2 linked regions of the Sus scrofa genome follow. Each later gene encodes a partner of the first gene's protein in a complex. Links are inferred from orthologs where the notes say so. Each region holds a gene or a part of one and is shown in the gene's direction. Other genes may lie near its edges.

The links. Proteins that work in one complex are often made in the same cells at the same time.
Region 2: the proteins of INTS11 (region 1) and WDR73 are in contact, whole or in part, in a cryo-EM structure (PDB 8R22), measured with the Homo sapiens proteins. The link is inferred for Sus scrofa from reciprocal best matches to the Homo sapiens genes INTS11 and WDR73. Residues at the interface, in NP_060341.2 of Homo sapiens: Tyr206, Thr208, Thr209, Ile210, Arg211, Asp212, Ser213, Arg215, Cys216, Arg217, Glu218, Arg219, Asp220, Leu222, Lys223, Lys224, His226, Phe255, Arg258, Met259, Leu364, Val384, Glu385, Tyr386, Ser388, Lys418, Lys419, Glu421, Phe422, Gln425; in NP_116245.2 of Homo sapiens: Asp5, Asp6, Leu8, Val9, Ser11, Leu12, Tyr15, Gln16, Phe18, Tyr19, Ala20, Phe21, Asp22, Leu23, Glu50, Leu52, Arg59, Leu68, Phe69, Pro70, Glu71, Arg72, Asp73, Phe74, Lys75, Val76, Gly79, Phe81, Asp116, Ser117.

Annotation. Positions count from the first base shown.
Region 1 is NC_010448.4:63,603,888-63,610,580, reverse strand, and holds the start of INTS11 (integrator complex subunit 11), read left to right. Parts: upstream 1-2,677; 5' UTR 2,678-2,800; coding exon 2,801-2,828; intron 2,829-5,488; coding exon 5,489-5,586; intron 5,587-5,844; coding exon 5,845-5,918; intron 5,919-6,693. Other genes in the region: CPTP (ceramide-1-phosphate transfer protein), read right to left, coding at 1-41.
Region 2 is NC_010449.5:52,899,521-52,905,530, forward strand, and holds the end of WDR73 (WD repeat-containing protein 73), read left to right. Parts: intron 1-280; coding exon 281-445; intron 446-760; coding exon 761-1,120; intron 1,121-2,593; coding exon 2,594-2,829; 3' UTR 2,830-4,627; downstream 4,628-6,010. UniProt on the Homo sapiens protein: Component of a multiprotein complex required for the assembly of the RNA endonuclease module of the integrator complex. Associates with INTS9 and INTS11 in the cytoplasm, stabilizing the INTS9-INTS11 heterodimer and blocking the active site of INTS11.

The DNA of each region.
Region 1 (6,693 bases):
CTGACGAGGACAATTTTCAGATTGAAGTCTAAGTCATCCATTTTCAACAGGAGCTGAAACACACGGGGTCAGGCTGCGGGCTGGGAGCCTGCTCATTCTTTGGGTCGTGATTTCTGGGGGTGGGGGTAGGGACAGTTGGAAGGAAACAGCCATGATCCTGCTGTTCCCCTCTTTGAGCTCGTGGTGAGCCCCAGCCGTGGGTCAGCCCTGTGCCCACCTTGCTCTGCTCGTGCTACACACTCGCAGACATACTGAGCCCTGCTGTGCCCTTTGCCAGGCGCTCGGCCCACAGTGCCACACAGCCCGTCACTCAGGCTTGTCAACCCCCTGCCACACCTCACTTGGGACAGGCGTCTCTGTGCTCAGGTTGTTGGGTTTTTTTTCTTCTCCTTTTTCAGCCACACCCAAGGTGCGCCGAAGTTCCTGGGCCAGCAACCGAATCCGAACATGCACCTGTGGCCTACGCCACAGTGGCAGCAACGCCGGATCCTTAATCCCCCGCACTGGGCTAGGGATTGAACTGGCACTGCCACAGAGACGAGGCTGGTCATTAGCCCACTACGCCGCGGCGGGAGTTCCGGCTCAGGTTTTCTTGCTGACTTGTTTATAGTCTCACTCCCCCCCTCCCCCATTTGTCTGTTCCTACAGCTGGAGAAGTATTTGCCGAGTCCTCACTCCGAGCCAGGCACGCACTGGGTGCTCTGTGAGTGACACCAAGAGCCTGGCCCCACTGGGGCGACATCCAAGTGGCAGGGCAATGTTTGTGTCGGGTAACAACAAAGGCAGGAAGTTCCAACATGACAGGTAGAAGGACAAGCCCCATGGAGAGACAGACTGTGGACGGAGGTGGGAGGGCCATGCCCTTCCCTGCTTGAAGCTGCATCCCAACAACCAGAGCAGAGGCTGCAGGGTCAGTGTTTGTGGACAGCTAGACAGACATCAGCCTTTCACTCCTATGGTAACTGCACACGCCCCACACAGGAGGGACCAAAGGTCCCTGCACCAAAGGTCTTCCCACTCTCCGAAGGCAGCCCTAGGCCCTCCCTGAGCCCCAGGGAATCCAGAAGGGCCCCAGGCTAGAGTCCTGCTCTGGGTTCTGCTGGCATTCATAAAGTCACTCCAGGAGTTCCTGCTGTGGCTCAGCAGTAATGAACCCGACTGGGACCATGAAGACACAGGTTTGATCCCTGGCCTCGCTCAGTGGGCTGAGGATCTGGTGTTTCAGTGAGCTGTGGTGTAGGATGCAGTTGTGGCTTGGATTCCGCCTTGCTGTAGTGTAGGCCAATTTGACCCCTAGCCTGGGAATTTCCATATGCCGCAGGTGAGGCCCTAAAAAGCAACAAACAAACATATAGTCACTCCACAAACATCCCAGTGCCCACATGTTACTGGATACCTCTGGGCACCCTGTGCCATGCTTCCCTGTGGTGTGGCTCCGACAGGCCCTGGGGACCCAGCTGTATCTCACGTCAAGTCCAGGACAAGCTCTTGTCCCTTTGGGCCTGGGGGGTTCCTGTACCCTTGGTGCTGGGAGCTCTGGGAGCCAGGCATGGGAGGGCAGCCGTCCAAGCTGTGGTGAGAGCCCAGCCAGGAGAGCACACCTGGATGCCTGGGCAGATCACACACTCTCCTAAAACCCCGCCCTTCATCTTCGGGGAGAATGGGCCAGCACACCCTGCCCTGCCCAGCATCTGGACTGCTGAGAGCATCTGATGGGGCCCAGGGGTTGCTGAGGCCCTGCAGGCCCCACAGGCTTGGCTGCAAGCCTGATGCCAGGCCCAGTGCTCGGAGGTGAGCTCACCCTGTGTTCAGGTGTGGGAGACAGCCATGCCTGGCCTCAGGAAGAGGACACTCCAGAGACTTCCAGAGACTCCCTCTCTCAGGGCTTCGGTTTTCTGTCCACGGAGCAGATGGCCTCTGAGGCCCTCAGGGCTCCCTTCCTGGTCACCAGACATCCTGTGGGCCTGGCCTTCCTGCCCAGAACCTGAGCCAGCAGCTAACTGGAGGTGCCAGGAGTCTTTCAGAGCTTGAAAACAACAGGAAGGGCAGTGGCCATGCAGCCGGGGCGGGCAGCATGCCAACTCTGGGAAGGTGATGCAGGGCACCGCCAAGGCTCCCCCAGAGGCAGCCCAGGCCCCAAGGTCAGGGCTCATCTTGAGGCCGGCATGAGCACCGGAGCCCTGTGGCTGACAGCAAGGAAAATGGGGCAGTCCTCCAACACCTCAGGTCCAGAGGGTGTGAGCCAGGCCCTGTCCAGGAAGTCCTGCAAATCTCGCCTGGGAAGGAGGCTCCAGGTGGCGCTGGGCTGGAACGCGAGATCCCCGACCAGGTGGGGTCCCCAACCTGGGCAGGTCCTGCTCCAGCTGAGGCCCAGGGATGGGACAGGGACCCCGGGTCCGGGCCGGTGCGGGAGGCAGGTCCTCGGCCGCCCTCTCCCGCGGTCCCACGGCAAGGTCCAGGCCCACCCGCCGGGTTCGGTTGGGCTGGGTTTCCCCGCCACCGACTGCAGCTCGTTTCTACCCGCTCACCTGCGCCGCCGCCGCCGCTCACCTGCGCCGCCGCGGCCGCCCCAGGTCCCGCTGCCCCGCCCCCGGCCCCCGCCCCACCGCCCAGGATTGGCTGCCATCCGCCCAATCAGAAGGCCCAACGCGCCCGCCCGCGCTTCCGTGGAGCGCACCGGAAGCTGGCGCAGTTGAGGCTGCGTCTGCGCAATGTGTCGCCTCCAGTCAGTGCGCGTGGCCGCAGCAGGGGCTCGGCGCCGGGGTCTGGCGGGGCGGCGGTAGTCCCACCATCGCTCAGGATGCCCGAGATCAGGGTCACGCCCCTGGGTGAGTGCGGCGCGGGCGGTCTGGTGCGTGCGGCGCGGCAAGAGCGCGCAAGGAAGGCGAGTGGGAGGCTCGACGGGCCGGGGACCCCCGCAGTCTCGTCGCCCCCCCCCCCCCCGCGCGCCGGTGCTTCAGGGCGCCTTCGCTGCTGTCTCTGCTTCCTCGCCACTCCCTGCCCATCCCCGTCCCCCGTCTGTCTGGCGTCCGCTTTCCTGCAGCCTCCGTGTATCTATCTGCAGTCCACCCGCCCGACCTTGTTTTATGTGGTTGCTGCAACATTAAGGTAACTTTGCTTTTCGCAAAAGATGTAAGTGCACAGTTTAAAGGCCCAAAAGGTACAAAACAGTGCGAAGGAGGAAGGATCACTCAGAATCCCGCGTCTTAGAAACAGCCGAAGTTATCATTTTCATGGTCAACTCTCCAGCTGCTGCTGCCTCGCCTCCCTGCGCACCTGTGGGGTCTGTGCTGGAAGCTGCCTCCTTCCCCGGGGCGTGCGCTGGGAGCATCTTCCGTAGACCGTCCCCCGAGCTCCACATCCTTTCTTCTGTGGTGAGCTCTCCCTCAGAATAGCCCACCCAGCCCCCAGTGTGGACACAGAGCTCTTGGCAGTTGCAGTGAACACCCTTGCCCCTGGCCTGCTGGGTCAGAGCGCACATCTCACCCAGCCATAAGTGTCCTCACCTGCGTGGCCTCTCCTAGCTGTTGGCTCAGGGTCCCCTCTGGCTGCTTCAGCCCCATGCCCTCCCCGCCTCTGCAGATTCTCCTTCCCGCCTGACCCTTTTCCATGTAGTTCCTCTTCTCACCGCTCATTCCTGAGCAGTCCTATCTTTTTAGTGCTTTTTTTTTTTTTTTTTTTTTTTTTAAACCCCAGATCTGCACCTGGAGTGCCCTCAGTGTCACTTAACCTTGGCACCATCAGAGCAGAAATACGTTGCCAGTTTCTGCCTCAGAGGGTCCCTGGTCACTGGGCCAGATACAGAGAGCCCTCCCGGATCCCTCCTACCACAGGGCTTTTGCACAGCTGCCCTCCCATCCCACGGTCCTTCTCCAAACTACTCGGAATTCGTCTTCTCAGGGAGGATGTGCCCATCCGTTTCCCTGTCTTACTGTTTCCTGAGGAGGCGCTCATCTCATCTGGTGCAGACTTCTCTAGGTGGTCACTGTGTCCTCGCCCTGAAACCCCAGCTCCCTGTGGGCACAGTGTCTGCTTTGTCCCCACCTCCCCACCCTCCTGCGCACCCTAAGCTCTGTTCCGCAACCCTTCCCTGCCCAGTTCTGGCCACTTTCCTTGCTCCCTGGGATTGTTGTGGGTCCTGTTGGGAGCAGGCAGCCCATGCCCAGGAGCAGAGCTCTGGAGTCCACAAAACTGTCACACGTGCCCATGGGCTGCTCCATGACTTCACACCCTTGTCTGTGAAGGGGGGACCCTTCCCCTCCCATAAATTCTGCAGTACCTTGGAGCTGGTCATGGCTTGGGGCTTGAGGTGCAGCAGGAAGCAGGCAGCTGAGCCCTGCCCTCGGGAACTCATGGTGGAGGCAGGAGCAGGCCTGTGGGGGACTGCGAGGCCACTGCCTGTGGCTGGGCTGCCCGAGGCCCACAGGCCGAGCTCGTGGCTGCCATCGCCTTGTATTGTCATGGGTGACTGAAGCTTTCTGAGGACCAGCCTGTGTCCTGCTTTGGGCTGTGGCCTGGTCACTCTGGTGGACGCAAGGTTCAGGTGGCCACAGAAGGAGGCTGGTCAGATTCAAGATGAAAGGCAGGTCATTTGCTGTCATCAGGCCTTGCAAGACTGTGTCCCTTTCCTTCTGGGCCTCCAGACTCCAGAGGAGGTGACAGATGGCCATATCAGGGGGCTGGGATGTGCCCCACTGGGGTTGGAGCATCTCGGTAGGGCTTGGAGATCAGGAACGTGAATGGGACTCAGATTACAGTCTGGGCTGGTGCTGCCCCGAGAGGGCACAGCACTGGGGGCTTTTGTCATTTGGGGACATGGGGCCACATAAAGCCACATGGCATCCCTCTGCAGTGGCACCACCAGGAGGGGCTGGCACCTCTTGGGGGCAGGGGCCCCGCAGCTCAGATGTAGCCCTGGCTTTGCGTGTGTTGAGTGCTGGGACCACAGTGCAGCACCCGATACTCAGCTCTTGGTCTCAGGATGTGGGTGTCTGCTGCGGGTGGGTTGCTGCCTCAAGAGGGGACTGATGAGTTCCTGTCTGGGCACAGTGGTCACGAACCTAAGTAGTAACCACGAGGACTCAGGTTCGATCCCTGGCCTTGCTCAGCGGGTGAAGGAGCCGGTGTTGCTGTGAGCTGTGGCGTAGGTCAGGTGCTGCAACTCCGATTCCACCCCTAGCCTGGGAACTTCCGTATGCAATGGGTGTGACCCTAAAAAGCAAATAAATAAATAAAAAGAGGTGAATGGCAGGGCCTGAGGCTGGAGGCCCTGTGGGGAAGGGCCTGTGGTGGCCTTGGCGCCTTGCGGCTCTCCCACCCCGGGTGTTTCTCTTGTCTACGTGCGGAGGTGCTGTCCCCTCAGCTCGTCTACACAGCCGTCACAGGTCAGCCGGAGCGCTCAGGGGGTCTGGAGCAAGTGGAGGGCATCCTTCAAGGGCGGGGGTGAGGGAAGGGCATGGCAGCACCTTTCCCGCTTCCCCCTGTGCAGGAGCCGGCCAGGATGTGGGCCGAAGCTGCATCCTGGTCTCCATCGGGGGCAAGAACGTCATGCTGGACTGCGGGATGCACATGGGCTTCAGTGACGACGTGAGTCCCGCGGGCGGCCGCCCGGCACCCTGCCCGCTCCTGCGCGCCATTGGCAGCAGGACCGGGCCCAGGGGGTCAGGCCCTGAGCCCTGGAGGGGGGGCCGTCTGGGCAGGTGGGCGTTGGTGGGAGGCCGGTGGCTCTGAGGTCACTGCATTCCCGGCCTCCCGCCCCCACCGTCCCTGGGGGTGGCCATGGAAGTCCCGGGTCTTGGGCCTGCTTCGGCCTGATGCTCCCCACCCCCCACCGCCGCTCTGCAGAGGCGCTTCCCTGACTTTTCGTACATCACCCGCCACGGCCGGCTGACCGACTTCCTGGACTGCGTGATCATCAGGTGGGCTCCTGGCACTGCCGGCTGGACTGTGTGCCGCCCGCGTCGCCTCTCTGGCTTGCCCCTGGGGCTGGCGCGCTGCATCCTGGCCCCCGTGGGTCCTAGGTGTTTGCCCTTGGGTGGTGGGGCGCTCCGCGCAGGGCATGCTTAAGCCGCTTCTTGGGCCTCCTCTCCCTTAGCCACTGATGCCAAGGCAGCGACCACCTACCCCCCTGCCAGCCCTTGACCTCACGGGCCCTCCCAGGGTCCTCACCCGCTCTTCCCCTGCCTCCCTTCCCAGCTGCGTGGGGCACCCCCCCCCCCCGGCAGTACACATCCGTTTCTGGGATGCAATGACCCTGGCCTTTGCCACGTGGCCTAGGGGAGCACAGTGGCCTCCTGCTAGTCCCCACCTGCAGCCCAAGGACCCGCCAGCCTGGGGCAGCTGCATTTCCAGCCGCTCTGGAGGCCCTGTGGTCTCGGTCCCTCCTCCGAGGTGGGCTCACCTGGTGTGTCCACTCCTCCTGAGGGTGGGCGCAGCGCTGCTGTTCCCTCCACCCCACTGCCTTTCCAGGCCTCCTCCAGGTGCCACCCCCTGGGTCTGCCTGACCACCTGCCCCGGCCCCTTCTGACCTGCGGCCCCTGAGCACCTTTCTGTTGCTCTTGGACTGTAACGCTGTCTGGCACCTGCAGGACTGCCTGCTGTTGCTTCTCTAGACATTCAGGCACCGAGTCCCAGGCCCGTGGTGGTCTGTCCTCTCGCTCTCACCCTTGGGGCCTGGGGCGGCACCTGACGCGC
Region 2 (6,010 bases), on another chromosome or scaffold:
ATAAAAAGCCAGGACTGCTTTCGGCTTTTTTGAAATGGCTGCAGTGATTCATTTTCTCCCATGTGCACGACAGTTCATCATAAGACAAATTATAAAGAAATTAGAGCACGTCTGACAGTTCCGCAAATGTGAACAGAATGCAGAGTGTTTGTGTCTCCACATCCTCTCCTGCCCGCTGTCAGCTCCTTTTCTCCCCTGGCCTTCTGGCCGGCCTCCCCCAGGTAAGGTTGCAAACCAGCATCAACATTCTAGACTTCAGCCTCTTCCACTTGCCCCCCAGATGTCATTAAAGCTGTCAGCACCATCGATGCACATGAGAAGGAGGGACATCCCTGGCCCAGGCTGGCCATCTTCTCGTCTCCGGCGCCTGGGGTCCTCCACGGGGCGAGGCTTAGCAGCCTGAAGGTGGTGGACCTGGAGTCGCACAAGAGCACATACACCTCAGGTACCATGGCCCCTTGGTGGCTCGTCCAGCCAGTGTCCACCTCCCAGCCCCACTCAGCCATGCTGGAAACAAAACCCCACCCTGTGTGCCAGAGGCTGGGGAAGCAGGATGAGGGAGGGCCAGGCCTGGACTCCAGGGCCCCTGTTCTGGCTTGGGGGTGGCAGGTCCTGGGACCAGCACACAGCCAGCTGAGTGGTTCATTTTGCCTGGGGCTAGGGGGGAGCTTCTCGGACGAAGGGACTTGTGACCCGCCAGCCCGACCAAATCACCAGCCCCATGTGACTGCAGCAGTTTCTCTTTTGCCCCATTGTCCAGGTATTAGCGAGGATGAGCTGCTGAGTAGCCTGCAGGTCCTGGATGCAAACACCTTTGCCTTCTGCTGCACCTCAGGCCGCCTGGGCCTTGTTGACACCCGCCAGAAGTGGGCCCCATCAGAGAACCTCAGGCCCAGCCCTGGGTCCGCTGGAGGGAGGTGGTATGCAGAAGTCGGCGGCCGGGGCCCTGGGCCTCGCATCGCCAGCCTTGGCTCGGACGGGCAGCTCTGTCTTCTTGACCTGCGGGATCTCAGCCAGCCTGTGAGCTCAGTCCAGTGCCCAGTGTCCACACCCAGCCCTGACCCAGAGCTGCTGCGAGTGACTTGGGCTCCAGGCCTAGACAACTGCTTGGCTATCTCAGGTACTGCTGAGCAGGATCTCGTGTCTGTCTTTGGATCTGTCTCTCCCAGGGTACTCTAGGGTGCTCAGGAAGGGGCCTGTAGCCCCACAATAAATCTGGCCTAAGAGGTTAAAGTAGCTTGGAAATGCTCCAGTGTAGCTCTCCAGGTCCTTCAGTGCTGGCTCTTCCCCATCCGGCTACCAAACTTCCATACCTTGGCGGCAGGCCTTTCTGTCCCAGCAGAAATTCAATTCTGAGGTTGGTCAAGAGGCCTAGAACAGCCATGGGGTGCAGCAGGCAGGGGTGATAGGACCTCAGGGGTGCGTCTCAGTCCACTCGCTTTCAAAAGTAGAGCAAGCCAGCTAAGTCAGCAGGCTTCTGGGTCTGGCCTGGCAGCATCTAGCTGAATGAGGGTATTGAATGAAGTATCAAAAAGCCAACGGAAGGATCCTCTGAGAGGGGGAGAGGTTTTTTTATTTTTTATTATTATTATTGGCCACCCCAAGGCATATGGAGTTCCCAGGCCAGGGATCAGACCCAAGCCGCAGTTGCAACCTACACCACAGCTGTGGCAATGCACTGTGCTGGGCCCGGAATCGAACCTGCATCACAGCGCTCCCAAGATACTGTTGATCCTGTTGGGCCACAGTGGGAACTCCTAGAGGGGGAGAGGTAGAAAGAATAGTTGAGAGAGCAGGAAAGATCATTAGTAATAGCAGGATCCAGATGAGAAGAACCAAGCTTGGCTATTCCTCCTTAAAGGTTCCTGCTTCCCCATCAAATAGGAGACACGGCCATCTGTTGAGAGGGACATCTGTTGAGAGGGACTCAGTACAGAGGGATTAGAAATTTGGGGGCAAGTGGAAAGGGTTTGAGATGTCCCTTAAGGGAGTTCTCATTGTGGCTCGGCGGTTTAAGAACCCAACTAGTATCCGTGAGGATGCAGGTTCCACCCCTGGCCTCACCCAGTGGGTTAAGGATCCAGCATTGCCATGAGCTGTGGTGTAAGTTGGCAGCTCTGATCTGGTGTTGCTGTGGCTTTGGTGGAGGCTGGCAGCTGCAGCTCTGATTCGACCCCAGCCCAGGAACCTCCATATGCCAGAAGTGTGGCCCTTAAGAAAAGGAAAAAAAGTCTCTTAAAGCTCAGTTTCTTGGGGAAAATAACAGTACCTGCTTCATGCAGCTGTGAGGACTAAAAGAGTGAATGCAGGATTAGCCTCGGGCCTGGCACATAGCAGATGGCTGACAGGTGCTCACCGTCCCCTGCCCCATAGTGTCATCAGCTGCCGACACTGAGGCTGGATGTTACATGCTCTGTCGTTGGCCTTTAAATATCTCATTACTATTTGATTTTTTTATCCTGTAGCCAGTTTGGGTTCCATAGAGCAAATTATGAAAATTACTCCAGGGATTCAGTGTCAGTGCTCCCTTTTCTTCTTTTTCCTCAGGTTTTTTTGTTTTGTTTTTAATGATTTTTATTTTTTCCTTCCTCAGGTTTTGATGGGACGGTCCAGGTCTATGATGTCACGTCTTGGAATGGAGTGGGGGGCCAAGTGGAACCTCTCTTCACTCACAGAGGTCACATCTTCCTAGATGACAGTGGCGTAGACACTGCTCCACTGGTCACCACCCATACCTGGCACCCCTGCAAACCAAGGACTTTGCTGTCGGCAGCAAGTGATGCCTCACTGCACGTGTGGGACTGGGTGGACCTCCGTGCTTCGCACTGACACGAGCATCTTTCCACCCGGGCCCTGGGAAGAGGAGGTGCTGCTGGATAGCAAGGATTCAAGTGACCACAGGGCCCTGTTCCAGCTGAGTGGCCATGGGCAAGTTAACCAGCCTCCTGGCCCCACTTTCTTTCTTTGTAAAATGAGATTGGTCATCAACTGTCTGGCAGGGTTGTTGGGAAAGTTAGAAGTAACATATTTAAAAATAATGGGTAGGGTGCATGGCACAATACATGTTTGGTGGCTACTGTTAGATCTGGGAGCCCCGTTTCCCTCAAGTTTTACCCCTGTCTGTATTCACAATATCATACAATCTAAAGAGTTAGTGAATGTAAACAGGTCCTGTGATTTTTTTTTTTTTTTTTTTTTTTTTTTTTTTTTGTCTTTTTGCCTTTTCTAGGGCCTCTCCTGTGGCATATGGAGGTTCCCAGAATAGGGGTCAACTCGGAGCTGTAGCCGCCGGCCTAAGCCAGAGCCACAGCAACGAGGGATCCGAGCCACGTCTGCGACCCACACCACAGCTCACGGCAACGCCGGATCGTTAACCTACTGAGCAAGGGCAGGGACCGAACCCGCAACCTCATGGTTCCTAGTCGGATTTGTTAACCACTGAGCCATGACGGGAACTCCTGTGAATTTTTTAAAGAACTAAAAATGGGCAAATGAACATGAAAAGTCAACCCCAGTGGCAGTAAAGGAAATAGTTAAGATTATGCCATTTTTGCCTACTAAATGTCAAATTTTAAAACATCTTTGGAGTTCTCTGGTGGTGCATCAGGTTAAGATCTGACATTGTCACTACTGTGGTGCAGGTTTGATCCCTGGCCTGGGAACTTCTGCATGCCACAGGCATGGCCGAAAAGAGAAAAATAAATAAATAAAACATTTTTGCTCTCAACAGCTGATAGAGGTTACAAGGTACACAGTTCAGAAGGCACAAAGGAACAGCATGGTTCTTTATCCCAGTTGTGTGATGAACTGTTGTGTAGTTGAAGCATAATTTATATATCCAGGCTCCTGTTAAATGGCAATTAAAATTTTCTAATCTTTTTCAGTAATATGTACAACTTTTGTATCCATGACATTTCTAAAAATAAAATTCTGGGAGTTCCCCTTGTGGCTCAGTGGTAATGAACTCAACTAGTATCGTGAGGATGCAGATCCAATCCCTGGCCTCACTCAGTGGGTTAAGGATCTAACATTGCTGCAAGGTGCAGCATGGGTAGAGAAGCAGATTGGATCCCATGTGGCTGTGGCTGTGGCTGTGGCACAGGCCAGGAGCTGTGTCTCTAATTTGACCCCTCCTTTGGGAACTTCCATATGCCGCAGGTGGGGCCCTAAAAAAAAAACTATATATATATATTTAAATAAATATATTGGAGTTCCTGTCATGACTCAGTGGTTAGTGAACCCAGCTAGCATCCATGAGGACACAGGTTCAATCCCTGGCCTCACTTGGTGGGTTAAGGATCTGGCGTTGCCATGAGCTGTGGTGTAGGTCGCAGATACAGCTCGGATCTGGTGTTGCTGTGGCTGTGGCACAGGCTGGTGGCTACAGTTCCGATTCGACCCCCTATATGTATAGTATGTGTGTGTGTAGATATAGATATATAAAATTGCTGAGGCAGAGGATGTGTGCATTTTTAGTGTTTATAAATACTGTCCAAATGCCCTCTGTGGAGATTGTGCCACATTATGACAGCAATAGTAATGATCTGTTTCTCTTACCTTAACAGCAGTCCCTTTAGTGGCTTTTTTACTTGTGCCAGTCTGATAAATAAAAAAATCATTATTTGTACTTTTAGTCTGCATTTCTCTTATGTGCGAAGTTGAGACTCTTCATATATTTAAAAGTTTGGGGCGGCTGTTTTTAAAGGTGCTAACAGCCAAGGTGGGGACATGGGCATCCTCACCAGTAACACCTGCGGCGCTGGGCCTTCAGGCAGAGACTGGCCTCCCTACCCCGGGCTCTCACTGGAACCCGACTCTCCCCAGGGTGGTACTTTCCCATCCCTGGGCCTGTAGCAAACATGAAAGTGAATCTGCATCCTGCTGCATAGAATTTCTTTCTTTTCCTTTTTTTTTTTTTTTTTTTTTTTTTGGCATCTTAGGGCTGCATTTGCGGCATGTGGATGTTCCCAGGCTAGGGGTCGAATTGGAGCTGTAGCCGCCAGCCTAGGTCACAGCCACAGCAACACAGGATCTGAGTTGTGTCTGCAACCTTCACCACAGCTCACAGCAACGCCAGATCCTTAACCCACTGAGCAAGGCCAGGGATCCAATCCACATCCTCACGGTTCCTAGTCAGATTCACTAACCACTGCGCCATGACAGGAACTCCCGGGAGGGATGTCATTATGTGGTGTCTGAAGGAGGAGGCAAGGGAAGGAAAGCCCTAAAGAAGGTGCTGGCTGGGTGTGACCAGAGCCCAGGAATGGGCCTCCTGGTGGGAAGTGAGCACAGTAATCCTGTCTGGCTGGGGCTGGGCTGTGGGCAGGGGCTGCCTAGCAGGTGCCGAGACAGTAGAGGAAACGGCTGCAGACTGCAGAAGTACAGAGGAAGAAACCCCAGACTTCTCTCCTTCAGATATCCTGCCTGTACCATGGACCAAACCTGTCAGGAGCTTGTCACTAAGAGAGCCTGGGAAACGCAGTGAGCAGGGGGCAGACCTGGGATGGATCTGGGGACACACAGGCAAATGACAGCCGAACTTCTATAAATTAAGCAAGAAAAAGGAAAAGAAATGATTAAAGAAAACAGAACAAGGCTGTCACAACAGATCTGGAAAACAAATATTAAAAGACTGTGCACAGGAGTTCCCTTGTGGTGCAGTGGGTTATGGATTTGTCACTGCAGTGGCTTGGGTTGCTGCTGTGGGGGTTCCACCCCTGGCCTGGGAACTTCCAAATGCTGCAGGTGAAACCGAAAAAAAAAGAAGAAAAACAATAGTGAGCACAATGATGTTGATTTGAAAATCTTAAGATAGTTAATTTTCTTGAAAATATACATTAATGATTGAACCTGCATTTTCATGGATAGTTGGGTTCTTAACCCACTGAACCATAATGGGTACTCCTCAAAATGCTTTTTTCAGAATTGACACCTTCTACAGGAAGGAAATCCTGGGGTTCTTTCAGCAATCCCAGGAAGATGTCCCAGAGAAACTCTAAAGAAGCCCAAA